Linked DNA regions of Anolis sagrei. The protein of the gene in region 1 interacts with the protein of each later gene in a pairwise test. Links are inferred from orthologs where the notes say so. Each region holds a gene or a part of one and is shown on either strand. Other genes may lie near its edges.

Region 1 (6,929 bases):
TTAGGACATAATTAACTAGTGAAAAACAGATAAAGAGAATACAATTATTAGAAATATGCCTAGAAAATGGCAAATAAATCCACATACCTCTTCAGAGAACAAAGGTTCTTCACTTTCAACCAATGGTTGCGCCATCTCCAAAGAACACGATTAAATATTCTGCAATGAAAGATTATTTACAATTTGATTAATTAAAAGTTGGGCACAACCATATGTATATAGGATTTTATCTTGAAAGCAATGCCAGAAAATTGAAACAGGGTCAAAACCACATATATACACATATACACAAATATACACACACAAAGCACATACACACAGACTGGGCCACAGCAACGCATGGCAGGGGATGGCTAGTCTATATAAATAAAAATGTAATGGTAGTTTGTGGGATTAACATAACTCAAAAACCACTGGACGAATTGCTGCTAAATTTGGCCACAAAACTCCTACTAACCTAATGAGTGCCCATCACTCATCACAGTGGAGGACCTTCTTGCAGCAACACCAGAGGCACTCCAAGTGGCCAGCTACTGGTCAAAGGACATTTAATCAACTACAAAACTCACAAATTTTGTATTCTGTCTGTTTGTTTGCTTTGTTCTGTTAGAAATGTAATATAATCGACTGGTTGAGCTGACACGGTAAATAAATAACCATCACTCAAAAAAACTGTTTTTGTCATTTGGGAGTTGTAGTTGCTGGGATTTATAGTTCACCTACAATCAAAGAGAATTCAGAACTCCACCAATGATGGACTTGAACCAAATGTGGCACACAGAACTCCCCTGACCAACAGAAAACACTAGAAGGGTTTGGTGGGCATTGACCTTGAGTTTGGGAGTTGTAGTTCACCTACATCCAGATAGCATTGTGGACTCAAAACAATGATGGATCTGGACCAAATTTGGCACAAATATTCCATATGCCCAAATATGAACACAGATAGAGTTTGGGGGAATTAGACTTTGACATTTGGAAGTTGCAGTTACTGGGATTTATAGTTCACCTACAATCAAAGAACATTCTGAACCCGGAGTTTCGGGATACGATGTCATCTGTACGCAGATGATGTCCAACTCTGTCACTCCTTTCCATCTACTACTAAGGAGGCTGTTCAGGTTCTGAACCGGTGCTTGGCTGCTGCGATGGTCTGGATGAGGGCGAACAAATTGAAATTGAATCCAGACAAGACAGAGGTACTCCTGGTCAGTCGCAAGGCCGAACAGGGTATAGGGTTACAGCCTGTGTTGGACGGGGTCGCACTCCCCCTGAAGACGCAGGTTCGCAGCTTGGGTGTGATCTTGGATCTTGGATTCAGGCTTCAGCAGTGACCAGGGGAGCATTTGCACAGTTAAAACTAGTGCGCCAGCTGCGCCCGCACCTTGGGAAGCCTGACTTGGCCACGGTAGTCCATGCTCTAGTCACATCCCATTTAGACTACTGCAACGCTTTCTACGTGGGGTTGCCTTTGAAGACTGCTCGGAAGCTTCAAATGGTCCTACGATCGGCAGCCAGGATGCTAACAGGAGCGGCACTCAGGGAGCATACCACTCCACTGCTGCGCCAGCTCCACTGGCTGCCAATTTGCTACCGGGAAGAATTCAAAGTGCTGGCTTTAGCCTTTAAAACCCTAAACGGTTCTGGCCCGACCTACCTGTCCGAACGCGTCTCCTCCTTTGAACCAGTTAGGACATTAAGATCGTCTGGGGAGGCCCTGCTCTCGATCCCGCCGGCTTCACAAGCACGCCTGGCGGGGACGAGAGACAGAGCCTTCTCAGTGGTGGCCCCTCGGCTGTGGAACGCCCTTCCTGCAGATATTAAATCGACCCCCTCCTTGCTGGCATTCCGGAGGAAAGTAAAGACCTGGCTGTTTGAACAGGCATTCGACTAAATAGTGTGATTGATTGACTGACTATCGGAACACGGAATATCGGATAACGAGTTTGGATTCTGATTTCATTGATGAGACCTGATGGATTTGTTATATTGATGTAGTGATGTATTGATATTGATGTTTAATGATGTTTAATGATTTGTGGAGCTATTGCTTTTAAATACTTAATGATTTTGTATTGTGTATACGTAAATTGTTGTGAACCGCTCTGAGTCGCCTAAGGGCTGAGAAGAGCGGAATACAAATTTTTTAAAAAAATAAACCCCACCAACGACAGAATTGGGGCAGAAAATACTTAAGGCCATCCAGTCCAACTCCCTTCACCAGAGCAAGAAAATGTAATCAAAACCCTCCTGACAAAGAGCCATCCAGCTACAGATATAGATAGATATATAAGATTGATACAAAGAGAGATATAGTATCATAGATTTGAAAGGGACCCCTAAAGAAGCACAATTATATGTTGCATATTCCAGAATAGGCAAACCAGACAATCTTCACATCTACATTGACAAAGAAACAGCAATAAATACTGTTTACTCACAAGCATCAAGAAATTACATAGATTAGAAGCCAACATTTTCTCATTACTTTATTTTCCAGATCACCAGACTGAGCCACAGCAACGCGTGGCAGGGGACGGCTAGTTTCATAATAAATGGCGTGGGGAAAGCAATTCCTCTACAAGCAGGCCAAAGAACCAGTTGCCTGCCAATGTTATGGGCAAGGGGGCTTAAATACAGTCCAAGGGCTCCTTTGGAATAGAAGAAATTAGTCAAGGGAGGTGTAATCCTAAATGGAAGAATGCAACTCAGCCCTGGTTGAGAGCAACTGAAAGCAGGACAGTCCTGAGGCGGAGTGGCCATATTTCCTCCCAAGTTTGGCCGTTGCCAGGTAACAACCCCCCCCCATGGAGTAATCCCTTAGCAACCACTCCCCCCCCCCCCCCAATTTTGAGGAGAACGAGGCGCGCGCGAGGCGTCCACCTACCCACTCACCGGCCTCCAGGTTTAAGCCACGCCCCTTCGCTTGCCCCGCCCCTAACAGCGACGCGTCAGCAGCAAACTCTGCCAAACCCGGCAGCCCGCCCTCCTTCTAAGCGAGCAGCAACGCGAGAGCGGAGAGGGGCGCGTGCTCGAACAGGCCCGTCCCCTCGCTCCAAGGGTCACGTGGCCACCGCAGCTGCGTCCCTGCCTGGCCGAGGGAGGGTGGAACAGCCAGCACTCAACTTCCGGCTTGGGTTTCGGAGCCATTTTCCTCCTGCGGCGGAAGTGACGACAGTCCATAACATTACAAAAGGGGGCGAGGTAAGTGGGAGGAAACCCAGCATAGCGAACTTGTGGTTGGCTAGCAAGTTACATGTGCCTCCAAGTTGTGTGTTGTGGCAATTTCATAAGGCTTGGCTTAGGTCAGGAATACTCACACCCCTTCGAGGTCCCTTCTGTATAAATTCTACATTATCTGATTTGAACTGGATTGTATGGCAGTGTGGACCCAGAATGCCAGGGCAGAAAATCCCACAAAATCTGCTTTGAAGTGGGTTATCATAGAATCAAAGAGTTGGAAGAGATCTCATGGGCCATCCAGTCCAACCCCCTGCCAAGAAGCAGGAATATTGCACTCAAATCATCCCTGACAGATGGCCATCCAGCCTCTGTTTAAAAGCTTCCAAAGAAGGAGCCTCCACCACACTCCGGGGCAGAGAGTTCCACTGCTGAATGGCTCACAGTCAGGAAGTTCTTCCTCATGTCCTTGTAGTTTGAAGCCATTGTTTCTCATCCTAGTCTCCAGGGAAGCAGAAAACAAGCTTGCTCCCTCCTCCCTGTGGCTTCCTCTCACATATTTATACATGGCTATCATATCTCCTCTCAGCCTTCTCTTCTTCAGGCTAAACATGCCCAGCTCCTTAAGCCACTCCTCATAGGGCTTGTTCTCCAGACCCTTGATCATTTTAGTCGCCCTCCTCTGGACACATTCCAGCTTGTCAATATCTCTCTTGAATTGTGGTGCCCAGAATTGGACACAATATTCCTGGTGTGGTCTAACCAAAGCGGAATAGAAGGGTAGCATTACTTCCCTAGATCTAGACACTATGCTCCTATTGATGCAGGCCAAAATCCCATTGGCTTTTTTTGCCGCCACATCACATTATTGGCTCATGTTTAACTTGTTATCCACGAGGACTCCAAGATCTTTTTCACACGTACTGCTCTCGAGCCAGGCATTATTGTCCCCCATTCTGTATCTTTGCATTTCGTTTTTCCTGCCAAAGTGGAGTATTTTGCATTTGTCACTGTTGAACTTCATTTAGTTAGTTTTGGCCCATCGCTCTAATCTGTCAAGATAGTTTTGAATCCTGCTCCTGTCCTCTGGAGTATTGGCAATGGCTATCCCTCCCAATTTGGTGTCGTCTGCAAATTTGATGATCATGCCTTTTAACCCTTCATCTAAGTCATTAATAAAGATGTTGAACAGGACTGGGCCTGTTCAAGTAGGAATAAGGCTTGGCTTAGGTCACGAATCCTCACACCTCTTCGAGGTCCTTTCTGTATAAAATCTACATTATCTGCTTTGAAACAAGCATCCCGAGCTCTGAGGATCACCTGGGAAGGAATCCCACTGGAGCATTGCAGCACACCCAAATACCTTGGAGTCACTCTGGACCGTGCTCTGACCTACAAGAAGCACTGCCTGAACATCAAGCAAAAAGTGGGTGCTAGAAACAATATCTCAGATATGCAGATGACACCACTCTGATGGCCGAAAGCGAGGAGGAGCTGAGGAGCCTTCTCATCAAGGCGAAAGAAGAAAGCGCAAAAGCCGGGTTGCAGCTAAACGTCAAAAAAACCAAGATTATGGCAACAAGAATGATTGACAACTGGAAAATAGAGGGAGAAACCGTGGAGGCCGTGACAGACTTTGTATTTCTAGGTGCAAAGATTACTGCAGATGCAGACTGTAGCCAGGAAATCAGAAGACGCTTACTTCTTGGGAGGAGAGCAATGTCCAATCTCGATAAAATAGTAAAGAGTAGAGACATCAGACTGGCAACAAAGATCCGCCTAGTCAAAGCCATGGTATTCCCTGTAGTAACCTACGGATGTGAGAGCTGGACCTTAGGGAAGGCTGAGCGAAGGAAGATCGATGCTTTTGAACTGTGGTGTTGGAGGAAAGTTCTGAGAGTGCCTTGGATTGCGAGAAGATCCAACCAGTCCATCCTCCAGGAAATAAAGCCCGACTGCTCACTGGAGGGAAAGATACTAGAGACAAAGTTGAAGTACTTTGGCCACATCATGAGGAGACAGGAAAGCCTAGAGAAGACAATTATGCTGGGGAAAGTGGAAGGCAAAAGGAAGAGGGGCCGACCAAGGGCAAGATGGATGGATGGCATCCTTGAAGTGACTGGACTGACCTTGAGGGAGCTGGGGGTGGTAACGGCCGACAGGGAGCTCTGGCGTGGGCTGGTCCATGAGATCATGAAGAGTCGGAGACGACTGAACGAATGAACAACAACAACAGAAACAATATCATACAAAAGCTGACTGGCACAACCTGGGGATCACAACCAGACACAGTGAAGACATCTGCCCTTACACTATGCTACTCTGCTGCTGAGTATGCATGCCCAGTGTGGAACACATCTCACCATACTAAAACAGTGGATGTGGCTCTTAATGAGACATGCCGCATTATCACGGGGTGTCTGCGCCCTACACCACTGGAGACATTACACTGCTTATTGCACCACCTGACATCCGCCGGGAAGTAGCAGCCAATAGTGAAAGGACCAAGGCAGAGACCCCTTCAGCTCATCCCCCGTTTGGGTATCAGCCAGCACGTTGACTTAAATCAAGACATAGTTTTCTTAGATCTACAGAGACACTCGCTGGAACACCTCAGCAAGCGAGAGTCCAAAAGTGGCAGGCTCAAACCCATTCTACACTGCCAGACAATCCACTTTATCAAAGCAGAAAATCCACACTATCTGATTTGGATTATTTTTGGCCCCTTCCACATCTTCTATATAAATAAAAATCTAATGTTAGCTTGTGGGATTAACATAACTCAAAAAACACTGGACGAATTGACACAAAATTTGGACACAATACACCTATCAGGCCAACAAGTGACCATCACTAATAAAAACACTGAAAAACACAGCGGAGGGTCTTAAAAAGCTAAAAAATCAAAAAGATGCTACAGCACATATGCAAAAACAACTCCCCTGGCAAACAAAACACACAATAGTGAAGTCGTCCCATTGGCTTCAATAGCATATTCATTTGCCTGGTGTCCCTATGGGATGTCTCTTACTTGATGTCCAGATGTCTCTTACTTGATGCCTCTTATAAAGGATATCCCTTGTTTAAGTCTTGGAAGCTTTCCTTTTATACATACAGAACAAGATGCCTCAAAAATCCTGTATTGTGGCATGTGAGCTTTCCATAAAGACAGAAACGTGTACCTGTGTCATTTATGAATGTGTGCAATGTGATCATTTTACAGAGATAAAGGTTGGTGTTTAGCTGGAACACAAAGCCTATTAATAGTGATTTCTGATTTTATCATTTTTATTTGCCATCTTTTCATAATAACAGTGAAAGCAGGGGAACAAAACCGGAGTGAAAGAAAGTAGGAAATTAGATAGAGAGGAGGGTTACTAGTGAGGGGTTGGACTAGAGTGGGAAGGGGATGGAACGGGGGAGGGGAAGTAGGGAAGGAGTGGGGTGAATAGAGAAAAATAGGGGGGTTAAGGGACTTCCAGTCCATGCCACAGAGAGATAATATTTCCCAAATAATATTTTTGTGGATAGTCCGCTATTTTTGTTATTTCGGGGTTTTTTTCTTTTCTTTTTTTCCCCATTCTTTTTCCGAATTTTTATAATTTCATCTTCTCTTGCAGGTAAATTTTCAGTGGTAGCCAGTTGGTTATGGTCTTTAAGTAGTTGCGTATTCATATATTCTATTACTTTCGCTGTCCATTCCTCAATTGAGGGGGGGGGGGGGGGCTATTAAAAGTGATTTCTGGATT
Region 2 (7,205 bases), on another chromosome or scaffold:
TTTTTCCTTTTGAAATAGCAGCTGTGTATAGAAAGTGTGTGGGGGAAGATTAACTCTTTCATTGAGTTGTTATAGGTTTTTCGGGCTGTATGGCCATGTTCTAGAAGTATTATCTCCTGATGTTTCACCAGCATCTATGGCAGGCACCCTCAGAGGTTGTGAGGTCTGTTGAAAACTAGAAAAATTGGGTTTATATATCTGTGGAAAGTCCCGGGTGGGAGAAAGAACTCTTGTCTGTTGGAGCTAGATGGGAATGTTTTAATTGGCCACCTTGATTAGCATTTGATGGCCTGACAGTTTTCTAGGTGTATTACTGCCTGGGGGAATCCTTTGTTTAGGGGTTATTAGCTGTCCCTGATTGTTTCTTGTCTGGAGTTCCTCTGAGTGTTGTTTTTTATTTACTGTTACAATTTTAGTGTTTTTTAATACTAGTAGCCAGATTTTGTTCATTTTCATGGTTTCTTCCTTTCTGTTGATATTGTCCACATGTTTGTGGATTTCAATGGCTTCTCTGTGTAGCCTGACATGGTAGTTGTTAACTCTTTCATTCCCCAACAAAGTACAAACAAACTCATCCAAATGCTCGTACCAGAACATACGTTTTAAAAGTACTTTGGCTTGTACTTGTAACTTCTGCTGGCAGATCCCTGAAAAGTTGGAAGCATAAATAATGGCTATTTTTACTGCATCAGTCTTCTGTCTCCACAGTCGGTAATGTCAACAATGCTGGGAACGTTGCCATTTCTCTCAATTTCTGTTTCCTTTTTTGGTTAATATATGGCAAATGATATAAAGTGTTCTTTATTCTTCTTTGCCAAAGAGTGCTATTAATTCATCAAAAGACACCTCCCATGATTCCATTGCATGGAGGTATGACAGTTTAAGTGGTGTCAAAGTGCATTAATTCTGGAGTGTAGATGCACCCTTAGAGCAGCCTTGGGGATGACAGAATAGATTCTATCTCCCTTGAGAAGTGCTGGCACAATATTCTTACAGGGGGGGGGGGAGGATGGATGGTGCTATGCTTATTCAGTTCTTATTGTACGTTATCTTTGCTAAATGAAGTAGCAGCCTTACTTTGCTTAACAGTAGGGCTGGCTTTATTAAGTAGCTACATATGATGAAGAAGAAGCATCATATACAATAGCTTCCATCTAGTACTTACGTTTGGCTCTTTAAATAGATTAAAAAGACAAATGTTCAAACATGTCAGAGGTGAAATGTCCAGGCTGTATTGGTCATATTTATAAACTAAACATGGGGAATGTATTGTTGTAGGCTTTCATGGCCGAAATCATTGGGGTGTTGTAGGTTTTCCAGGCTGTATGTCCATGTTCCAGAAGCATTCTCTCCTGATGTTTCACCCACATCTATGGCAGGCATCCTCAGAGGTTGTGAGGTCTGTTGGAAAATAGGCAAGTGGGGTTTATATATCTGTGGAATGTCCAGGGTGGGAGAAAGAACTCTTGTCTGTTTCAGGTAGGTTTGAATGTAGCAATTGGCCATCTTGATTAGCTCTGAATGGCTGAAAAGCAGTTTATGTGAAACATGGGAAAGTTGTTGTTGGACTCAGGTGCCATAATTTCCAAGCATTCAGGGATGATGGGACTTGCACTCCGACACCTATAAGGCCTCAGGAACCCCAACCCTGCAAAGAATCTGTGTTTTTTGCTAAAGCAACCAGGAAAGGTTTACAGTGAGTAGGAATGTTAACTTGTCACATTGAAGAACTTATTCTAGTCATATCTGTTATTCCACCTTGAATATATCTTTATAGGTTGTTGTATATCTTTATGATTTCTTCTAAGTTGCAAAATCCTCATCCTCCTGCCATTTTTTTTATAAAGACTTTTGCACTGAAGCCTATCATCAATGAAAGCTGCAAAGACTCCTTTGTGCCACCTTCTGCAGAAGAATCACAAAGCCCTGATACAAAGGGAAACCTACAGCCTTGCTGTTTATGTACCTTTAATTCAGTGGTTCTTAAAGCATGCTCCTTGGGGCTCCATGAAGCATGCCGAGGGACTCTGCAATGGCCCCTTGGGTTTCTGCTGCTGTTATTGTTGTTACAAAGCCTGAATGACCATCCCTCGGGGAATTATTTGATTGTGCGTTTCCTGCATGGCAGGAGGTTAGACTGAATGACCCCTATTATTATTATTATTATTATTATTATTATTATTATTATTGAGGTTGAGTAGCCATTAGGGCTGGGCGGTTTCGTTTCGTTAATTCATAATTCGTTAATAATTCGTTAATTTTTCCAATTACAAAACGATAACGAACCATTCTGGAGCAATTTTTTAAAAAAACGAATTTTTAAACACGTTTTGTAAATGCTTCGTATTTTGTTATTGTGTTCGTTTCGTTATTGTTCTGAGGTCGTTTCGTTATTATTTCCGCATGTCTGGGGCAAGTTTTTTGTTTAATTAGTGAAAAAAAATTATAATATCACACCAACAGTCAACAACAGAGGGAGAGGGAAGCTTCAGAAGTTTTTGGAGGTTTTTTAGCGTATTTCGCGGTCGCGTCCGCCATTAACGAATCGATTCGTTATTGATTCGGAAATCGATTCGTTAATGTTTTGTAATTTTTTTCACATTTACGAAATTTCGTAAATATCAAACTTTTTAAAAGGAAAATTTTGTAATTATTTTAAATATCGAAACAAAAAAGCCCCCAAATACAAATCGATTTTAGAAACAAATTTTTCCGTTGTTACCCAGGCCTAGTAGCCATCTGTTGGGGGTGCTTTGTGCTTTTCTTCCATGGCAGAAAGGGATTGAACTAGATGGTCTCCTGGGGCTGCTTCTATTATTATTATTATTATTATTATTATTATTGAGGTTGGGTGGCCATCTGTTGGGGGTGCTTTGATTGTGCTTTCCTGCATGGCAGAAGGGGGTTGGACTATATGGCCCCGGGATTGCTTCTATTATTATCATTATTATTATTATTATTATCATTGAGTCTGGGTGTACTCTTATTACAATGATGATAATTATGATAACAAAGGCTGGGTGGACATCTATTGGGGGGTGCTTTGATTGTGCTTTTCCTGCACGGCAGAAGGAGGTTGAACTAGATGGCCCCTGGGGTTGCTTCTATTATTATTATTATTATTATTATTATTATTGAGGCTGGGTGGCCATCTGTTGGGGGTGCTTTGATTGTGATTTCCCTGCATGGCAGAAGGGGCTTAGACTAGATTGCCCTGGGGTTGCTTCTATTATTATTATTATTATTATTATTATTGAGTGGATGTACTATTATTACAATGATGATAATTATGATTACAAAGACTGGGTGGCCATCTATTGGGGGGGGGGGGGTGCTTTGATTGTGCTTTTCTTCCATGGCAGAAGGGGGTTGTACTAGATGGCCCCTGGGGTTGCTTCTATTGTTGTTGTTGTTGTTGTTGTTATCATAAAGGCTGGGTGGCTATCTGTTGGGGGTGCTTTGATTGTGATTTCCCTGCATGGCAGAAGGGGCTTGGACTACAATGCCCTGGGATTGCTTCTATTATTATTATTATTATTATTATTATTATTATTATTATTATTATGTGGGTGTACTATTATTACAATGATGATAATTATGATTACAAAGGCTGGGTGGCCAGCTATGGGGTGTGTGTGTGTGTGTGTGCTTTGATTGTGCTTTTCTTCTATGGCAGAAGGGGGTTGAACTAGATGGCCCCTGCGGTTGCTTCTATTATTATTATTATTATTATTATTATTAATAACAATAATAATAATATTGAGAAGGCTGGGTGGCCATCTGTTGAGGGTGCTTTGATTGTGCTTTCCCTGCATGGCAGAAGAGGGTTGGACTAGATGGCCCCTGGGGTTGCTTCTATTATTATTATTATCATCATCATTAATATTATTATTATTGAGACTGGGTGGCCATCTGTTGGGGGAGTTTTGATTACGCTTTTCCTGTATGGCAAAAGTTTATGTTGGCCAAAAAGTTTGCCCATACCTGATATATTTAGATAGATAGGTAGATAGATAGATAGAAAAGCGGCTGGGGGGGGGGGGGAGGAAAGGGGCCTGAGGCTGCTAGGAATTGTGGGAGTTGAAGTCCAGAACACCTGGAGGGAGGGCCCAAGTTCGCCCAGGCCTGCCTTACAGTATAGACATCTCTTCTTCCAGCCTCCTTTCCCTCCCCCGCCCTTTTCAGATCGCACTGCGCAGGCGCACACCGATCCGCGTTGAAAGATCGCGAGAAGAGATTTCGGTCGGCTTCCCCGGCGGCGGGAGTTTGGGAGAGATTTGGCTTCTGAGGTAATAAGAAGAGACGGAGGAAAGGAACGAGGGACCCTTTGGTTCACGGCTAATGGACATTGTAGTACGACAGAAGGCCTTGGGGTGCATCTACATCACGCCTGGCCAAGCTTCGGCCCTTCAGGTGTTTTGGACTTCAACTCCCACAATTCCTAACAGCCGGTAGGCTGTTAGGAATTGTGGGAGTTGAAGTCCAAAACACCTGAAGGGCCGAAGCTTGGCCAGGTCTGATCAACACTGTAGAATTAATGCAGTTTGTTACCACTTCAAACTGCCACGGCTCAATGCTATAGAATCTCTATTCGTGCCTCTTCAAATTCTGCAGCACTGCTGGTCACAGCTGACCTCCAGCTGGAGCGGTCAAGGGCCAGGGCTTCCCAATTCTCAGTGTCTATGCCAGAGTTTTTAAGGTTGGCTTTGAGCCCATCTTTAAATCTCTTTTCCTGTCCACCAACATTCAGTTTTCCGTTCTTGAGTTCGGAGTAGAGCAACTGCTTTGGGAGGCGGTGGTCAGGCATCCGGACAACGTGGCTGGTCCACCGGAGCTGATGGCGGAGGACCATCGCTTCAATACTGGTGGTCTTTGCTTCTTCCAGCATTCTGACGTTTGTCCGCTTGTCTTCCCAAGAAATTTGCAGAATTTTCCGGAGGCAGCGCTGATGGAATCGTTCCAGGAGTTGCATGTGACGTCTGTAGACAGTCCACGTTTCGCAGGTGTATAGCAGTGTTGGGAGAACAATAGCTTTTATAAACACACACCTTGGTATCCCTACAGATGTCCCGGTCCTCAAACACTCTCTGATTCATTCGGAAAAATGCTGCACCCACAGAGCTCAGGCGGTGTTGTATTTCGGCGTCGATGTTGACTTTGGTGGAGAGGTGGCTGCCAAGGTAGCGGAAATGGTCAACATTTTCTAATGTTACACCATTAAGCTGTATCTCTGGCATTGGAGAGGGATTGGACGGTGATTGCGGAACAGCACTTTGGTTTTCTCAATGTTCAGTGACAGGCCGAGCTTCTCGTATGCTTCTGCAAAGGTGTTTAGAGTGGCTTGTAGATCTTCTGAATGCGCACAGACGACATTGTCATCAGCATACTGGAGTTCTAGTAACAGATGTGGTAACCTTGGTTTTGGCTTTTTCATCACCATTATTATGCTCATTGGTCGATATTCATGGTTTCTGTGCCCAGAGATTCAACCATCCATGGCTTTAAAACATGCCCACATGTAAACCTTGATTTTTTCTCTCTCTCCAGTACATTAGTCAACTCACAGCAAACCATTAGTCAGTTCTCACAATGGAAACAACTGTGTTAAATGAACCTACATCACTATGCTCCACTCCAGAAAGTAGTGGTCTGAAAAGCAGCAGCTCCTCAGAGAAACAGGTATGTTGCCTAATATTTCCAGTTCTCTTGTTAGCACAGGAGATTCAGTTAACCGGCACTCATGGGGATTGAGAGATGCTGGATAAAGGTAGTTTTTGGTTTTTTGGGAGTTTCTATTAAGAATATTCGACTTCTTTCTGTACCATAAACACTATTGGCTTGATATTAATATTAAAATATATAATTAAAAGCAAATAAAGGCAAACCATTTAATGTAATAGTTTTACAGTTTTGCTGCATTATAAAAGCCTTTTAAATTTAAAATATTATTTCTCTGTGGGTTTTTTGCCAGTTGCTTCAAGAGTTCTGGTTAACTGAATCTACTGTATTTCCAAATTGTTGTGAAGCCTGATTTTATGTAGAATTGTGCAAACCTTGGCTATACTGACAAACATAACTCCACAGTATAGTACATATGCCTATAACAGATCTATGTGTAACTAATTGGTTTCTCCAGTATTGAAAGTAACAATTATAATTAATTTGCTAAGGGATTCCTTCACTCCACTTGCAATTTATTTAGTTCCTATATATACTTGAGTTATGTCCCCGCAAATTGACAAAAAAAACAACAACCCCAAATCAAAAACCTGGTTTGATTTATATTCTGGTTAATCGCAGCATTGTTTTTGAACTGTTTGACTGCCTAGGTGCAGTGTTGTCACTAGGGCAGTGTAGAGGCCTGTGGTGGAGGTGACACCAAAAGGATGGCCACTGTGACAGCCTGTGCTGAACACATCGTGTCACTCCCAAGAACGGTCGCCTGTACCACAGTCTCCACACTGTGCCCTCCCTGTTGGGTTGCTCAGAGCAGGGAGAGGGGTGGTTTAATAATAATAATAATAATAATAATACTTTATTTGTACCCTGTTACCATCTCCCCAAGGGACTCGGTGCGGCTTACATGAGGCCAAGCCCACAATACAACATTGGAACAATAGCAACAGTAATAAAAACAATAAATAAAACTCATAAACAGAAAATAGCAATAAATATTAACAATAACACAACGACGTTTAAAAACCTATGGCAGGGTCAAATGTACTAATTAAAAATTTAAAAAATAATGCTGGCCGTGACAAGGTGACAATAAACAAGATAAAAATTTTGGAGAGGGATAGAGCGTGCAGACAATCCTAGATCACTACTAAAGTGCATTTAGGGACATATTGTTGGGAGTTTCCTTATTCTGGGAAGGCACAGTGGAACTTATTTGCAAATAAGCAAAAATGATAACCCCCCCCCCCCCCCCACGCATCCCTTGATGCTGTTGTGGCTGCTAGCGCTCCTGTGCTCACAGTCCTGTCCTGGCTTCAGTGGCAATGAAGTGCTCCTCATCTCCAGCTCCCAGGCTGTCAGTAACATTGTATAACGCAGCTTCAAGATGACTTGAAGCCACAACATGTAAATTGCTATTGCGCTCTGCAACATGTATTACAGGAGATACCTGCATAGTGGTTTGAGACTGTGTACCATTTTCAATGTCATCACTGGTTTGTTTTCAAATCCTTTGCACAGTGAAACTA
Region 3 (7,462 bases), on another chromosome or scaffold:
CCCAATTCTATCATTGGTGGAGTTCAGAATGCCCTTTGATTGTAGGTGAATTATAAATCCCAGAAACTGCAACTCCCAAATGTCAAGGTCTATTTTCCCCAGACTCCACATTTGGGCATATTGAGTATCCATCCAAGTTTGGTCCAGAGCTCTCATTGTTTGAGCCTACATTGCTCTCTGGATGTAGGTGAACTACAACTCCAAAACTCAAGGTCAACGCCCACCAAAGTTTTCCAGTATTTTCTGTTTGTTGTGGGAGTTTTGTGTGCTAAGTTTGCTTCAATTCCATTGCTGGTGGATTTCATAATGCTCTTTGATAGTAGTTGAACTATAAATCCCAGCAACTACAACTCCCAAATGACAAAATCAATTCCCTCCCCAATCCAAATAAATTTTGGGTGCATTGGGTGTTTGTGCCAAATTTGGTCCAGTGAATGAAAATACATCCTTCCCAGAATAAGGACTCCCAAGCAATATGTCCCAAATGCACTTTATGAGAGATTTAGAACCTATCTCTAAAATAGCCATCCTATTTCCCTTGGACATGCCCAGCATTTTTAAATTTTAAGCCTTACATTTGGCCCTGCCACAGGTTTTTAAATGCATCGTGTCATTATTGTATTGTTTTGCTTTGTTATGAGTTATTTATTGTTGTATTGTTGTTGTTATGTTTTATTATGTATTTTGGGCTCGGCCTCTTGTAAGCCGCACCGAGTCCTGTGGGAGATGCTGTCGGGGTATAAATAAAGGATTATTATTATTATTATTATTATTATTATTATTATTATTATCCTGTATGTCAGATATTTACATTACGATTCATAACAGTAGCAAAATTACAGTTATGAAGTAGCAAAGAAAATAATTTTATGGTTGGGGGTCACCACAACATGAGGAAAGGTATTAAGGAGTCACGGCATTAGGAAGATTGAGAACCACTGCTGTAAGACAACCTAGGTCATTCACATAGATGGATAGTAAGGATAACACATTAAGTCTAAACTGTACCACTAATGCAGTTTGACTCCACTACTCCTGCCATGGCTCAATGCTTTGAAATCCTGGGAGATGTAGTTTAGTGAGATAGCAACATTTTTTGGCAGAGAAGGCTAAAGATCCTGCAAAACTGCAGTGCCCAGCACTAAAGAGCATTGAACCACAATGGTTAAAGTAATGTCAAACTGAAATAACTCTGTGTTTTCGAAGTCTTTCATGGTCGGAATCACTGGGTTGCTGGGAGTTTTTTGAGCTGTATGACCATGTTCCAGAAGCATTTTCTCCTGACGTTTCACCCACACCTATGGCAGGAATCCTCTGAGGTTGTGAGGATGCCTCAAAAACCTCACAATCTCTGAGGATGCCTGGCATGGATGTGAGTGAAACGTCAGGAGAAAATGCTTCTGGAACATGGTCATACAGCACAGAAAACTCATAGCAACCCTGTAATAACTCTGCCACGTAGATGCATTTTAAGACTACCATGTATTGTTTCTGTCTCCCATGAAATTTAACCAGTGGTCATTTACAATTACCAGCTCTCTCTGTGCAGACCCCACCCCCTAAATAAAGGGGGGAAAACGGCTCTCTCTTTACTCAAATATAATTGCTCAGGGAAAAAGAGCGTCTCTTTGCTACTGCTCGGAGGATAGAGCGCTTCCTTCATTTAGGCCAGGTAATTGAATCCAAGGAGCTATATTTAACATACCTCTTTATCTAAATGAATTTATTGATGGGGAGGAAAATGGATGCGCTGCCAGAGACTCTGTTGCTGACCGTGTCGGAAATGATTAAGTTGATGGCTTCACAAAAGCTGCTTGGCTCCCTGTACCTCCCCATCGTCCACCCGCACAGCCGGCAGAAAAGGATGTAATCAAGGGGAGCCACATCTCCAAGGGTGGCTGGTAGCATCCCAGAAAGCATCAGACAGGAGTTGGTCCAGCTAGGGATTTTGTATCCACCCAATCCTGGTCAACCCTAGGACGAATGTACTTGCTTATTCAGGTTGAACACTGGGATGAACAGCCAAGCTAAGAGGGGATGCAGCAGTTTGTTTTTGCCAGAGTCTCCTGGGAAGGGAGGCCTGTTAGCGATAATCATAGCATTGTAGACTCATAAAGTTGGAAGAGACTTCTAGGGTCATCCAATCTAACCCCCTTCTGCCAGTAAAGCAGTGGTTCCCCAACCATTTTTTTTAACCAGGGTCCACTTTGACAAGAGGCCACTTGACCAGGGACCACATTCCAACATTAGTACCAAAAGGGTTATGAATCAATGTATTGTCGAAGGCTTTCATGGCTGGAATCACTGGGTAGTTGTAGGTTTTTTCAGGCTATATGGCCATGTTCTAGAGGCATTCTCTCCTGATGTTTCGCCTGCATCTATGGCAAGCATCCTCAGAGGCAGTGAGGTCTGTTGGAACTAGGAAAATGGGTTTATATATCTGTGGAAAGACCAGGGTGGGACAAAGGACTCTTGTCTGCTGGAGCTAGGTGTGAATGTTTCAACTGACCACCTTGATTAGCATTTGATAGCCTGGAAGTGCCTGGAGAAATCTTTTGTTGAGAGGTGATTAGATGTCCCTGATTGTTTTCCCTCTGGAAAATCTGGCTACCTGTTTTAAAAAACTCTAAAATTAAAACAGCAAAACAGCAGATCAATATAATAACAATTAAAACAATATGTAAAACATTCATTAAACCAGTAAAAAAACAGTATTAATAGCCATCTGCTCACCCACAGAAAACCATATTTAATTAGTCTCAGCACTATAAGGGGTTTTTGTGAGACCAGCTGCATTCATTGCAATGGTGTAGTAATGGTGAGTCTGCAAACCTATTTTAGTTCTTGGGGACCACTGGTGGTCTACACACCACAGATTAGAAACCACTGCTCACTCACAGAAAACCGTATTTAATAAGCCTCAGCACTGTAAGAGGATTGTGCGAGACCAGTCGCATTTGTTGAAATTCGTCCATGGACCATATTTTAGTTCTTACTGACCACTGGTGGTCCACAGGCCACAGATTGGAAACCACTGCTCGCTCACAGCAAACCATATTTAATAAGCCTCAGCATTATAAGAGGATTTTGCGAGACCAGTTGCATTCATTGAAATTTGTCCACGGACCATATTTTAGTTCTTATGGACCACTGGTGGTCCACAGACCACAGATTGGAAACCACTGCTCACTCACAGAAAACCATATTAATAAGCCTCAGCACTATAAGAGGATTTTGTGAGACCAGTCGCATTAAAATTCGTCCACGGACCATATTTTAGTTCTTGCGGACCACTGGTGGTCCGTGGAGCACAGGTTGGGAACCAATGCATTAAAGAATACAGAATCCGAACACTCCTGGCAGAATCTATCTAGGCTCCAGAGAAGTGGACTCCACCAGACTCCAAATCATCAGTGGATTTCACTATCAAAAGCTCTGACTGCATGATTTTTTCCCACTTTTGTTTGGATGGAATCTCTTTTTTTTTGCAATTTAAAGCTATTGCTCTGTATCGTAGTCTCTGAAGCGATGGAGAACACATCTTCCATGTGACCTTCTTGTGTTAAAACAGGTAATGGCCAACTTGGGCCCTCCAGGTGTTTTGGACTTCAACTCCCACCATTCTTAACAGCTTCAGCCCCATACTTTCGCTCCTCAGCGGCTTAAGCTGAGGCGGCTGAGGGGGGAAGGGAAAGGAAAGGGCCTGAGGCTGTTAGGAATGGTGGGAGTTGAAGTCCAAAACACTTGGAGGACCCAAGTTGGCCTATGACTGTTTTAACACAAGAAGGTCCCACGTGTTAGCCTTTTAACACAAGGCTATCATGTCCCTTGTTCATGAGATTCATGAGGTCACGAAGAGTCAGAAGCAACTGAACGAATGAACAACAACAAATCATGTCCCTTCTTTGCTATTTCTTCTCCAATCTAAACATACTCAATTCTCTAATTCCTGGTTCCCAGACCTTTGACCTTTTTGGACAGCCTCCAGTTTGCCCATCTCCTTCTTGAATTATGGAGCCCAGACCTGGATGCAATATTCAAGGTGGCCTAATCAGAATAAAGTGGTATTATTCCTTTCCTTGATTTGGAAACTATCCTCCTATCGATGCAGCCTAGGTTATGATAATACACACACTATGCATTTACTTCATCTTCACTGTTATTATTTATTTTATTTTAATTTATTTATTTGAATTGTGGTGAAGTGATCAGCAACAACCAATGCTCTGTCCTCCAGATGTGACTGGACTTCAGTCTCCGCTGTCCCTCATCGAGGGCTCTGTGGCCTAGGGCTGATGGGTGCTGCAGTCCGAACACAACTGGCGGCCGCTGCTGCTCTGAAGACTGGTGCTGCTGTTGGCAAGGAGCCCAGACCGTTGCTCTCGCTGGGGATTGGCGTTGGCTGGTGATGTCATGCATCTGCAGAGCCATAAACTTGGGGTCCTTGGCGAAAGCCAGCAAACTGTCTCATCTCCGTATGTTGGGGATGACAGTCCGGTTTGTTGTGTGAGCACAAACCAGAGAGGACCAGGCGACATCACAACTTGCTCACCCTCTTCTTTGATTTGCATTGTCCGCAAGAAAGCTGTGATTTGGGCCGGAGTCAAGAATCGAACTTTCTCCACTTGCCACACCTTCACAGACTGAGTGACCATGCAGTGGCACCAGCTTTTTCTAGCTGGCACTGGAGAATCATGATGGTAACGCTCTTGGAAAATTTGGGAATAAAACAGTGAACAATGCCCCCCGAACTGGAGCTCAGTCACCTCTCTGCGGCCATTTGAGGAGCCCCAATCCAAAGGGGTGCTGCACCTCTTGAAAATCTAGAGTGAGAGTGCCTTCCAATGGCAATCCACCCTGACGGCAAAGCTCGCTGAGGCCAGATCACCCTTTGCAGAAGGGGCCCTGGGTGTGTGTGTGTGTCAGTGTGTGTCTGCACACACAAGGCACTAGGACCTAGGAGGAGTCCCGGCAAATCTGGCAGGAATTTCTTGCTTGGAGCTCAGACAACAAAGGCAGAGTGTGGCTGGCTTTCTCTCTCTCAGCATCTCCACCCTGCAAGAGCTGAAAACCGGTAAGTATTCCTTGGAAGCCTTTCCAGGCAGAGAAAGCAGCAGAGATGGGATGCCAAAGGCAGGGGAAGGAAAGAGAGAGTCAGGCTGGAGATGAAGGAGGTCCACGCCCCATCCAAAGCTCTGGCTTTTCAAAGTTGCATTGAGCTCCCATTGTTTCCAGTGTGATGTTTAGAGAGCAGCGAAGTAGTGCTGGGTTTGGGTGGGGATGATTTTTTTGGCAACTCTGGTGAAGGAAAAGCAATGGGAAGCTCCCTTCCCTGCATGACAGGAGTGAAGGTCAGGGACAGGTCACCGTGACTCCTCGAAAAGGAAGGCAGAGACTCTGGCAGAAGGCAAGCAACAGCTTTTCTCAGGATTTGTACCTGATCACCCAGCCTTGAGGTTTTTAATCCCATTTCAGCTGTGCGAAGCTGCGATGAGCAGATGTGAGTTGCATGCTAATAGCCTTGGACAGCCAAGAGTGATCGGGCTCATAGGTTTCGTGGGATCCCTTTGGAGGGGCTGGGATCCTTTGCATCTCCAGCTCATACCTGAGATGATCCCTGTCACTCCCCTTTTCCACACTATTCGCACACTGAACTAAGGCGCTTTCCCAATTCCACTAAGCGTGCGCTCAGAGCAGTGAACAATGAAAGGTGCTCTTGCGGTGGCGTGATGAGACTGCATCTGTCAGACACCTTCAGCAATTAAAATACACTTCATTAACAGGAAAAGGAAGGGTGCAGGGAGAAGTAACCATATTCTCCAATTGAATGACATCTGGTGTCAATATCATTTCATATCAACTCACCCACTGCTCTTGAATACGGTCCCCGCCCCATACTTTTTGTCTGAATTTCTAGGATTTCAAGGGTTTTCATAGGGAGTGGTGACTCTGGAGATGTGAGTAAGTGAGATGTGACTGCTCTTCTGGCTTTCAGACACTCACAAAGGATACAGCATTGTTGCCGTATCTCTGTCCAGCCATCAGCCATTCCAGTTTGATTCTCATTTGAAAGGTCCCTTTGGCTCAGGCTGTCTCTCCATCAGCATCTGGATAGGTTTGATACCCGAGCACAGGTTCTCAAGTCTTTGGAAGGTGGGATTCCTCTCTTCATTGTTGGTTCTATCCATCTACCGCTGAAGGGAAGTTTTGCATCAAAACTGCGGGGAACTTCATTCAGTTCAAACTGTTTGTAGCTGGCATGCATCCTGAAGTGACGCCCACAAACCTCTCCATCACATTCTCCTATTATTAGAAACCCAGGGTTGAGCCAGAGATAGAAATCCTTTGGTTCCAGGTTGTGTATCATTCAGTCAATTGTGTTGTTGAGATAGGACCCTCCCATTCCCTGTGCCTTACTCCCAAAAATACACAGAGGAGGGGGAAGTCCTTTGTGGCATCAATCCAAGCAAAGTAAGACATTGGGCAAGGCTTCGTTTTATTGGAAAGCACAAAGTTTAGCTTGAAGATCTGCTGTTAACAGTGTTTTCCTCTTTCTAGCTGACTATATTTTGTTTCCTTTGCACTCTTTCCTCCTCCACCTCCCAGCTTCACAACTTCAGGGCTCACCGAGCTATGGAACTTGATTTTGGACACTTTGACGAAAGAGACAAGGCGTCCAGAAACATGCGAGGCTCCCGGATGAACGGCCTGCCGAGCCCCACTCACAGTGCCCACTGCAGCTTCTACCGCACCCGGACCTTACAAGCCCTGAGCAACGAGAAGAAAGCCAAGAAGGTGCGCTTCTATCGCAATGGGGACCGCTACTTCAAGGGCATTGTGTACGCCGTCTCTGGAGACCGTTTCCGGAGCTTCGACGCCTTGCTTGCCGACCTGACCCGGTCCCTGTCCGATAACATTAACCTGCCTCAGGGAGTGCGCTACATTTACACCATCGATGGCAACAGGAAGATTGGGAGCATGGATGAGCTGGAGGAAGGTAATGAGCTGCAAGCGATGCTGGTGCATGGAGGGTGGAGAACACTGCAAGCCTTGATGCTTCACGCATTATGAGCTGAGCATGCCTCAGGTTAGGGTGCATGAATGTCAGTGGAGGGTATACTATACCCATTGATTCACCTCCCACAGCATTAGAGTTCATTCATAAATTGGAGTTTCTTATATTCTTGATTCATCTAGATAAGGGAAGTTGGGAATATGAACAATGGACCTCAGAGGAAGATTTAGATTAAATCTTTATGGAAAATATCAGAGACCGGATGTGGGATTTCCTGCAAATAAATCATGTGGGTTGTTGTGAATTTTCCGGGCTGTATGGCCATGTTCCAGAAGCATTATCTCCTGGCATTTTGCCTGCATCTATGGCAGGCATCCTCAGAGGTTGTGAGGTCTGCTGGAAACTAGGAAAATGGGGTTTATATATCTGTGGAATGTCCAGAGTGGG
Region 4 (7,029 bases), on another chromosome or scaffold:
GAAATGCCTCTAGAACATGGCCATATAGCCCGAAAAAACCCACAAGAACTGAAAGACTTCAGACTTGATTAAAATTATAGCTACATGCACATTTGTAATGGAATTGTTGCTGTGTGTTTTCAAGTTGTTTCTAAATTATTGCAACACTATCCATGCATTTTCTTGGCAAGATTCTTCAGGGGGAGAGGGTTGGCTTTGCCCTCCTCCGAGGCTAAGACACTGGCTTTTCCAGATGAGCCAGCAGGTTTCCATGACCAAGTAGGTAGTCAAACCCTGGTCTCCAGAGTCATAGCCCAACACTCAAACTACAATACTGTGCTGGCTCTCGCCCATGTGCACATTTGCAACAGAATAAGGCTCAGAAAACACAGTGGGAACCACTTCTGAGTATACATCCAGAAGATTTGGCTCCCCCCAGATATTCCATATATTTGTTTAAGGCTAAAAAAAAAAAAACCCCATCATTCTCTTAGCAACATACACTTTGAGTAACTCAACATGTGGTTCTGATCTGCAACTAGCAACATATCCTACAGCTCCCCACATAACCCCCTCTTGAATCCCAAATATGAAGTCTGCTAAGATTTTCCCATTTTGTCCACAAAGCTTACCAACAATGACCCTTGCAAAGGTGCGATCTTCAACATTTTCTTCAGAATAGACCATGCTGACAAATGCCCGGTTGGCAGCTGGCTTTCCCACAGGAGCCCCATGGATCAAGTCCCTTAAGGTCTTCACTCTCAAATTACTGGTCTTCTCACCAAGCACAAAGCTGATAGCATCCATGAGGTTTGATTTCCCTGGTTAGATACAGCAAAGACAGAACAAATTGAAACCATGTTATCAATATTATGTTGATGTTTTCATTGTCACAGTTTCTTAGTCTCAAGATTTTAGCAACGAATAATAAAGACTCCGAATTATTACTGAAGAAGGTAAAGGAAGCAAATGCAAATGTTAGTTTACAGTTGAACATAAGAAAACAAAAATAATGACCACAGATAACCTTCATAACTTTAAAGTTAGACAAACTGATTGATTGAATTATTTTCTTTGTTTTTAAATGTTCAAGGAGCTCCATTGGCTGCTGTTTATTTTCCAAGCCCAATTTAAGGTGCAGGTGCTTACCTACACAGCCCTAAATGGTTTGGGACCATCCTACCTACGTGACCGCATCTCTGTTTATGAACCTACACGTTCTCTTCGTTCATCCGGAGAGGCCCTGCTCACGATCCCACCTGCGTCGCAGGCATGTCTGGTGGGGACGCGAGACAGGGCCTTTTCTGTGGTAGCCCCCTGACTCTGGAACTCCCTCCCTAAAGATATCAGACAGGCCCCTACCTTGGTAGTCTTTAGGAAGAACTTGAAGACCTGGCTGTTCCGATGTGCCTTTCCAGAATAGGAAAACTCCAGTAACATGTCCCAGAAGCACTTTATTAGAGTTTAAGATTGCCCGCACACTGCACTTACCCTAAAATCTGATATACCACCTGCCACATCAGCCTGTACTCATTTTAACCTGTACCCATTACATTGGCCCGGCCCTGTTTTCTTGTGTTTTGGTATATTGTTTTATTGTTTTGTTGTTTGATATTGCTTTAATTGCTTTGATTTGTTTTAAGTTGTGTATTTTGTTATGCTATGTTTTTATTGAGGCCTTTGCCTGTGTAAGCCACATCGAGTCCTTCGGGAGATGCTAGTGAGGTACAAATAAAATTAATAATAATAATAATAATAATAATAATAATAATGTAATGTATTGCATATGTATGTTGTAAACCGCTCCGAGCCTTCAGGGAGTGGTGGTATATAAATTCGATTAATAAAATAAATAAATTAAAAATTAAAAAAACACTGAAATAGTTCTATACTTTGCCTCACTCATTAAACAGAACGCGCTGCAGTCAAGAAATCAGAAGAAGACGAAGGCCCCTTCTATACTGCCAAATAAAATCCAGATTATCTGCTTTGAATTGGATTATATGGCAGGGTAGACTCAGGTCCCTTCCAGGATCGGATCCCACGTTTTCTGCTTTGAACTGAATTATACGAGTCTGTGAAGCCGAGCACCCCCCCCCCCCCCAGAATGGGGGATGGTGACTTGTAGCCCTGCAAAGGGCAAGCGCACCAGACTGCACAGTAAGGGGTTAAGTCTTGGTCACATTGCCAAGGCACTGACAACAACAAGGACCCCACGAGGCTTTTGGGAAACGGCTGGATCTTGGGACTTCTGCCCTTCGTGAGAGTCGTAGTTTCCCAAGGACCAAAGTGTGAATCAGTTGCAGCACAGCTGGGGTTTCATCTGCTAGCCTTCCCAATGATCATGGACTCTCTGCCTGCATGTCTTGGACTTCAGTACATACTATCTCCCTCATGAACTTTCCTCAAAGACCTTTTAAAACATTGGACTTCAGGCTTCTTCATGAAAATTAATCCTCTTATTAAATATATTTGGGATGTGGGACAAAGATGGGGTTTTGTTGCTATGAAATGCTTATGATTTGAATGTATGTATCTTGCTATGAAATACCTTTTGCCCCCTTTACCCTTGCCCAAAAAAAGGCGACCAGGAAAAACCACTCAGTGCCTGAGGGGGCTGTTGTTCCCTCGAAACCAACCTTATCACAGACATTTGCATGTACAATAGCAACTGGAAATTCTTTGTTTATTTTTTTCTGAGTTGGCCTGGTAAACAGGGAATTTCTCTGATCACATTTTAATTTAATCACAAAGGGGCGAGACTGGCCCCAGGGGTCTTCTTGCCCTGCTCTGTTTGTTTCATCCAAAAACCTATCAAAACCAACACACCTTATCTGATCCTGGAAGGGGAAAACCTGAATCAAATGATTATCCCTAATCACTGATCCATCACAAGAACAAAAAAACTGGTTTCCTTGGCTGGCTGATCCCTCGGGCAAAGGACAGTGGAATGTCATCATCCTCTCTGGACACAATGCCCCTCTTCCGTCCTGCCTCCCTCTCCCTGATTTGCTAAGGAGCCGAAGAGGGAGGGAGTTTTGAAACTTTCAAATCTGTATTTTGCTATAAATATGCCTCTGATCAATGTATTGGTATGCTTGCATGTGAATGATCACTGCAATTGCATCCGCTTCAGCTGAATCGCTAATAAACCTCGGTGCCACTTCTTCACCTTGGCAAGAGTCTCATTTCAATTATTAATATCAATAAAATTGCTGGAATCAGGCTTCTTCTGACGGCTCGCCAAGGACAAGGGACTCTCTTTGGTGCAGTCCTAGGAGTCTCTTCTACCGGGGAGACTCTCCCAAATTCAGGCTCAATATCATCTGCACTGCCAGATAATCTGGGATAAACAGAAAGCCTGGAATAAAGGGCCTGCCTGGAAGGACCCTCAGTCTACAGGTACTGAGTAGTGTGACTGAGCATTTGACTCTTAGGCCCCTTCTACACAGCTGTTTAAAATCCATATTATCTGCTTTGAACTGGATTATACAAGTCCACACTGCCCTATAATCCAGTTCAAATAAGATAATCTGGATTTCAAATGGATGTGGTAGGACCCTGGGTTATCTGGACATGCTCCCTACTCTACCCTTCCCTGAAATGCCATGCGATTCGGTGTTGTGTCCTTAGATCCCGGGGAGGCCCGCCTTACCGGATCCATTGGGCCCGATGATGGCCGTGAAGCTCTGGAAGGGCCCGATGATTTGCCGCCCTTTGTACGATTTGAAATTCTCGATCTCGATCAGCTTGAGGAACCCCATTCCGCGGGTTGGGGAAACGGGGGGGAGATAGAAAAGGTGGACGCAAAGCAAAACTACGGGGCGCGGTGGGGGACACAAGGCCCCGTAGGCCCCTCTTGATTACTACTCTCGGCCGCCGTCCACGAGAAGGGCGGGAGTCTTGAAACCTCGCGAGAGTTGATTACGGCTCACTTTAGGCTCCGCCTCTTACGACATCGCGGTCGCTGATAGGATGCCGCTGCCGCGTAAAATTTGCATTCGGAGCTCCTCCCCTTTTCCGCCTCAGCTCAGCAGGGGACCTCCTTCCTGCGGCAAGCTCCGCCTACTCCGAACTTCTCACTGTGCTGATAGGTTCGAGCGCAGCCAATGAGCCCTTTCCAAAGATGACATCATTTAAAGTGGCTCGTTGTCACAGCAACCAGAAAGCAAGCGCCGTCTAGGAAAGGTGAGCATCAGGCGAGTCGGGTCGTGCAGAGGAAGGGGCCTCTGATCAGGTTGCCTACACTTTATGGCACTACAAAGCCCAGCAGCCCTGGCCTGTTGAGAGATGCTGGGAGTCTCAGTCCAGAGGCGGAATTATAGCATCTTATTAACTGCCATGGCTCAATAATATAATATATTGTATATACATATAATAATGATAATATTATAATGTAATACAATATAATACTACTAATAATATGATAATTATATATTTTATATTAAATGTAATATTACTAATATTACAGTATAATGTTATAGTACAATGTTATATATATATAATGTAATGTTTGTTTGTGGGATTAACAGAACTCAAAACCCACTGGATGAATTGACACAAAATTTGGACACAAGACACCTAACAACCCAATGTATGTCCCTCACTCAAAAACATGATTTTGTCATTTGGGAGTTGTAGTTGCTGGGATTTATAGTTCACCTACACTCAAAGAGCTTTCTGAACCCCACCAATGATGGAATTGAACCAAACTTGGCACACAGAACTCCCATGACCAACAGAAAATACTGGAAGGGTTTGGTGGGCAGTGTCCTTTGGTTTTGGAGTTGTAATTCACCTACATCCAGAGATCACTGTGAACTCAAACAGTGATGGATCTGGACCAAACTTTGTGAATTATGACCAGGAATGTTTTGACGATGTGGCTGTGTAAGTGTGATGATGACGGTGTTGTATTGTAATATGTTTTTAATTGTGTAATGATAATACATTGTGTGGTTTGTATTTTTGTATACGAACACATGTTGTGAACCGGATCTGAGTCCCTCTTGGAGATGAGAAGATCGGTATAGAAAACTTTTAAATAAATAAATAAACTTTACATGAATACTCAATATGCCCAATTAGGGAAAATAGAATCTTAACATTTGGGAGTTGTAGTTGCTGGTATTTATAGTTCACCTACAGTCAAAGAGCATTCTGAACCCCACCAACGATAGAATTGGGCCAAACCTCCCACACAGAACCCTCATGTGGGCCACAGCAACACTTGGCAGGGGACGGCTAGTAATATTAATATTGTGCTATGGTAATAATATAATATAATGTATTTATTTTTTGCTTGTAAGCCGCTCTGAGTCCCCTTCGGGGTGAGAAGGGCGGCGTATAAATGTCGTGAATAAATAAATAAATAAATGCTATGGGATTCTGGGATTTGTAGTTTTGTGAGATACTTCCCCTTCCCTTCCACACAGTCATATAATCAAGAATATCAGGGCAGATAATCTACAGTATCTGCTTTGAACTGGATTATCTGAGTTCACACGGCCATATAATCCAGTTCAATGTGGATTTCATACAGCTGTGTGGAAGGGGTCAGAGGGCTCTGGTGCCACAACAAGAAACGAATCCCAGGATTCAATAGAATGGAGCCATGGCAGTTAAAGTGACTCATCACATTGTGGATAGTCACTGAGGCCCCTTTTACGCTGCCATATAATCCAGATTATCTGATCTGAACTGGATTGTTTGATTAGGTACCAAAATATGTTTCTTTTAACACAGAGGATTATGAGCCATGTAAATTAGTTTTTGAGAAACAAATAGATGCTTTGAAGGAAATCCTCCCTCCAAGGAATAAGGGTATATTTTTGCAGATACTACTTATGTGGTGCTTATAATGTCTGAAGCTCTAGATTCCATCTAGGAGTAGGGAGAAATACGAGGGTTGAATTAAAAGTAATGCCTCCACCTTCGAAACTCTTCAACAGATGGCAGTACTGGTATGCGGCAGGTACTGGCTTGTTCAGTAGACTCTCCTCTACAGTTCCATTTTGGCGGGAAGCCTTAGCATTGAATGGTTGTGTTGTTAAAGTGCAAAGTATGGAACCCTGTGCAGATGGTCGGTCAATGCGACTTAAGCAACGTGCAGTCATTGAATTCTTGACAGCAGAAGGTGTCACCCCAAAGGAGATTAATCAGAGAATGCAAGCTGTTTATGGTGGTTGTGTTGATGTGAGTACTGTGCATCATTGGGCGAGTGAGTTTAAAGATTTTGAGGTGGGAACATCTGACTTGCGTGACAAACAAAGAGTTGGACGTCCTGTGACAGCAAGCAAAAGGTTGACAGATTGATTAAGGACAATCGTCGTATCACTCAGAGAGAAATCTCAAGCATAATCGGCATTTCACAAGAACGTGTGGGTCACATTATTGCTTTGCTTGGCTATCGGAAGATCTGTGCAGGATGGGTCTCGGAAACAAAGTGTCGACTTCTTCCATGATGGCTTCAGAAAAATTGTTCATTGTTGGCAGAAATGTATCCAATGGTCTGGTGATTATGTGGAAAAGTGAATAGTGGTAGCTAAAGAGCACATTCTAAGGATTATTTCTGCATTTGATTTATTAAAATATTCCCATCCAAACCCAAGTAACAAAGGTGGAGGCATTACTTTTCATTCAACCCTCATATATATATATTATATAATGATGAGTCTACACTGCCATGTAATCCAGTTCAAAGCAGATAATCTGGATTTTATATGGCAGTGTAGAAGGGGCCATAATATAAGGCTGATTACCCTTTAATTGGAATTCTGAAATTCAAAATGCTCCAATTGATAATGTGCTATTTCATGAACAACATTTATTTTAAAATATAATGCACTCAGTTATTTTCAAGCACTAGACATATAAGATGCATGTGAAAAATCACTAAATGTTTATGGATGGTTTCAGGTGGCCCATCTCTGTGGTGTGACTTTAAAAGTATTTTGCTTGAGACTCTGGACAACTACAAGCATTTAGTATAGTAAACATTAAAATAGATTAGTATACATACAGTCCTTGAGTTACGGACAAGATAAATTC

What was found.
Region 2: the proteins of RINT1 (region 1) and SFR1 interact in binary tests that used the Homo sapiens proteins (3 or more experiments, as listed by UniProt). The two-hybrid records come from large-scale screens. The link is inferred for Anolis sagrei from reciprocal best matches to the Homo sapiens genes RINT1 and SFR1.
Region 3: the proteins of RINT1 (region 1) and DCX interact in binary tests that used the Homo sapiens proteins (3 or more experiments, as listed by UniProt). The two-hybrid records come from large-scale screens. The link is inferred for Anolis sagrei from reciprocal best matches to the Homo sapiens genes RINT1 and DCX.
Region 4: the proteins of RINT1 (region 1) and RIBC1 interact in binary tests that used the Homo sapiens proteins (3 or more experiments, as listed by UniProt). The two-hybrid records come from large-scale screens. The link is inferred for Anolis sagrei from reciprocal best matches to the Homo sapiens genes RINT1 and RIBC1.

Annotation. Positions count from the first base shown.
Region 1 is NC_090025.1:83,924,664-83,931,592, forward strand, and holds the start of RINT1 (RAD50-interacting protein 1), read right to left. Parts: upstream 3,012-6,929; 5' UTR 2,896-3,011; exon of another isoform or gene 2,888-2,895; intron 160-2,887; 5' UTR 136-159; coding exon 88-135; intron 1-87. UniProt on the Homo sapiens protein: Involved in regulation of membrane traffic between the Golgi and the endoplasmic reticulum (ER); the function is proposed to depend on its association in the NRZ complex which is believed to play a role in SNARE assembly at the ER.
Region 2 is NC_090023.1:213,235,198-213,242,402, reverse strand, and holds the start of SFR1 (swi5-dependent recombination DNA repair protein 1 homolog), read left to right. Parts: upstream 1-4,187; 5' UTR 4,188-4,289; intron 4,290-4,497; exon of another isoform or gene 4,498-4,699; intron 4,700-4,752; exon of another isoform or gene 4,753-5,003; intron 5,004-5,547; 5' UTR 5,548-5,589; coding exon 5,590-5,679; intron 5,680-7,205. UniProt on the Homo sapiens protein: Component of the SWI5-SFR1 complex, a complex required for double-strand break repair via homologous recombination. Acts as a transcriptional modulator for ESR1.
Region 3 is NC_090030.1:18,943,258-18,950,719, reverse strand, and holds the start of DCX (neuronal migration protein doublecortin), read left to right. Parts: upstream 1-4,447; 5' UTR 4,448-5,074; intron 5,075-5,475; exon of another isoform or gene 5,476-5,500; intron 5,501-6,060; exon of another isoform or gene 6,061-6,153; intron 6,154-6,339; exon of another isoform or gene 6,340-6,471; intron 6,472-6,606; 5' UTR 6,607-6,633; coding exon 6,634-6,997; intron 6,998-7,462. UniProt on the Homo sapiens protein: Microtubule-associated protein required for initial steps of neuronal dispersion and cortex lamination during cerebral cortex development. May act by competing with the putative neuronal protein kinase DCLK1 in binding to a target protein.
Region 4 is NC_090022.1:175,069,040-175,076,068, forward strand, and holds the start of RIBC1 (RIB43A-like with coiled-coils protein 1), read left to right. Parts: upstream 1-4,022; 5' UTR 4,023-4,167; intron 4,168-7,029. Other genes in the region: SMC1A (structural maintenance of chromosomes protein 1A), read right to left, coding at 612-800, 3,635-3,743.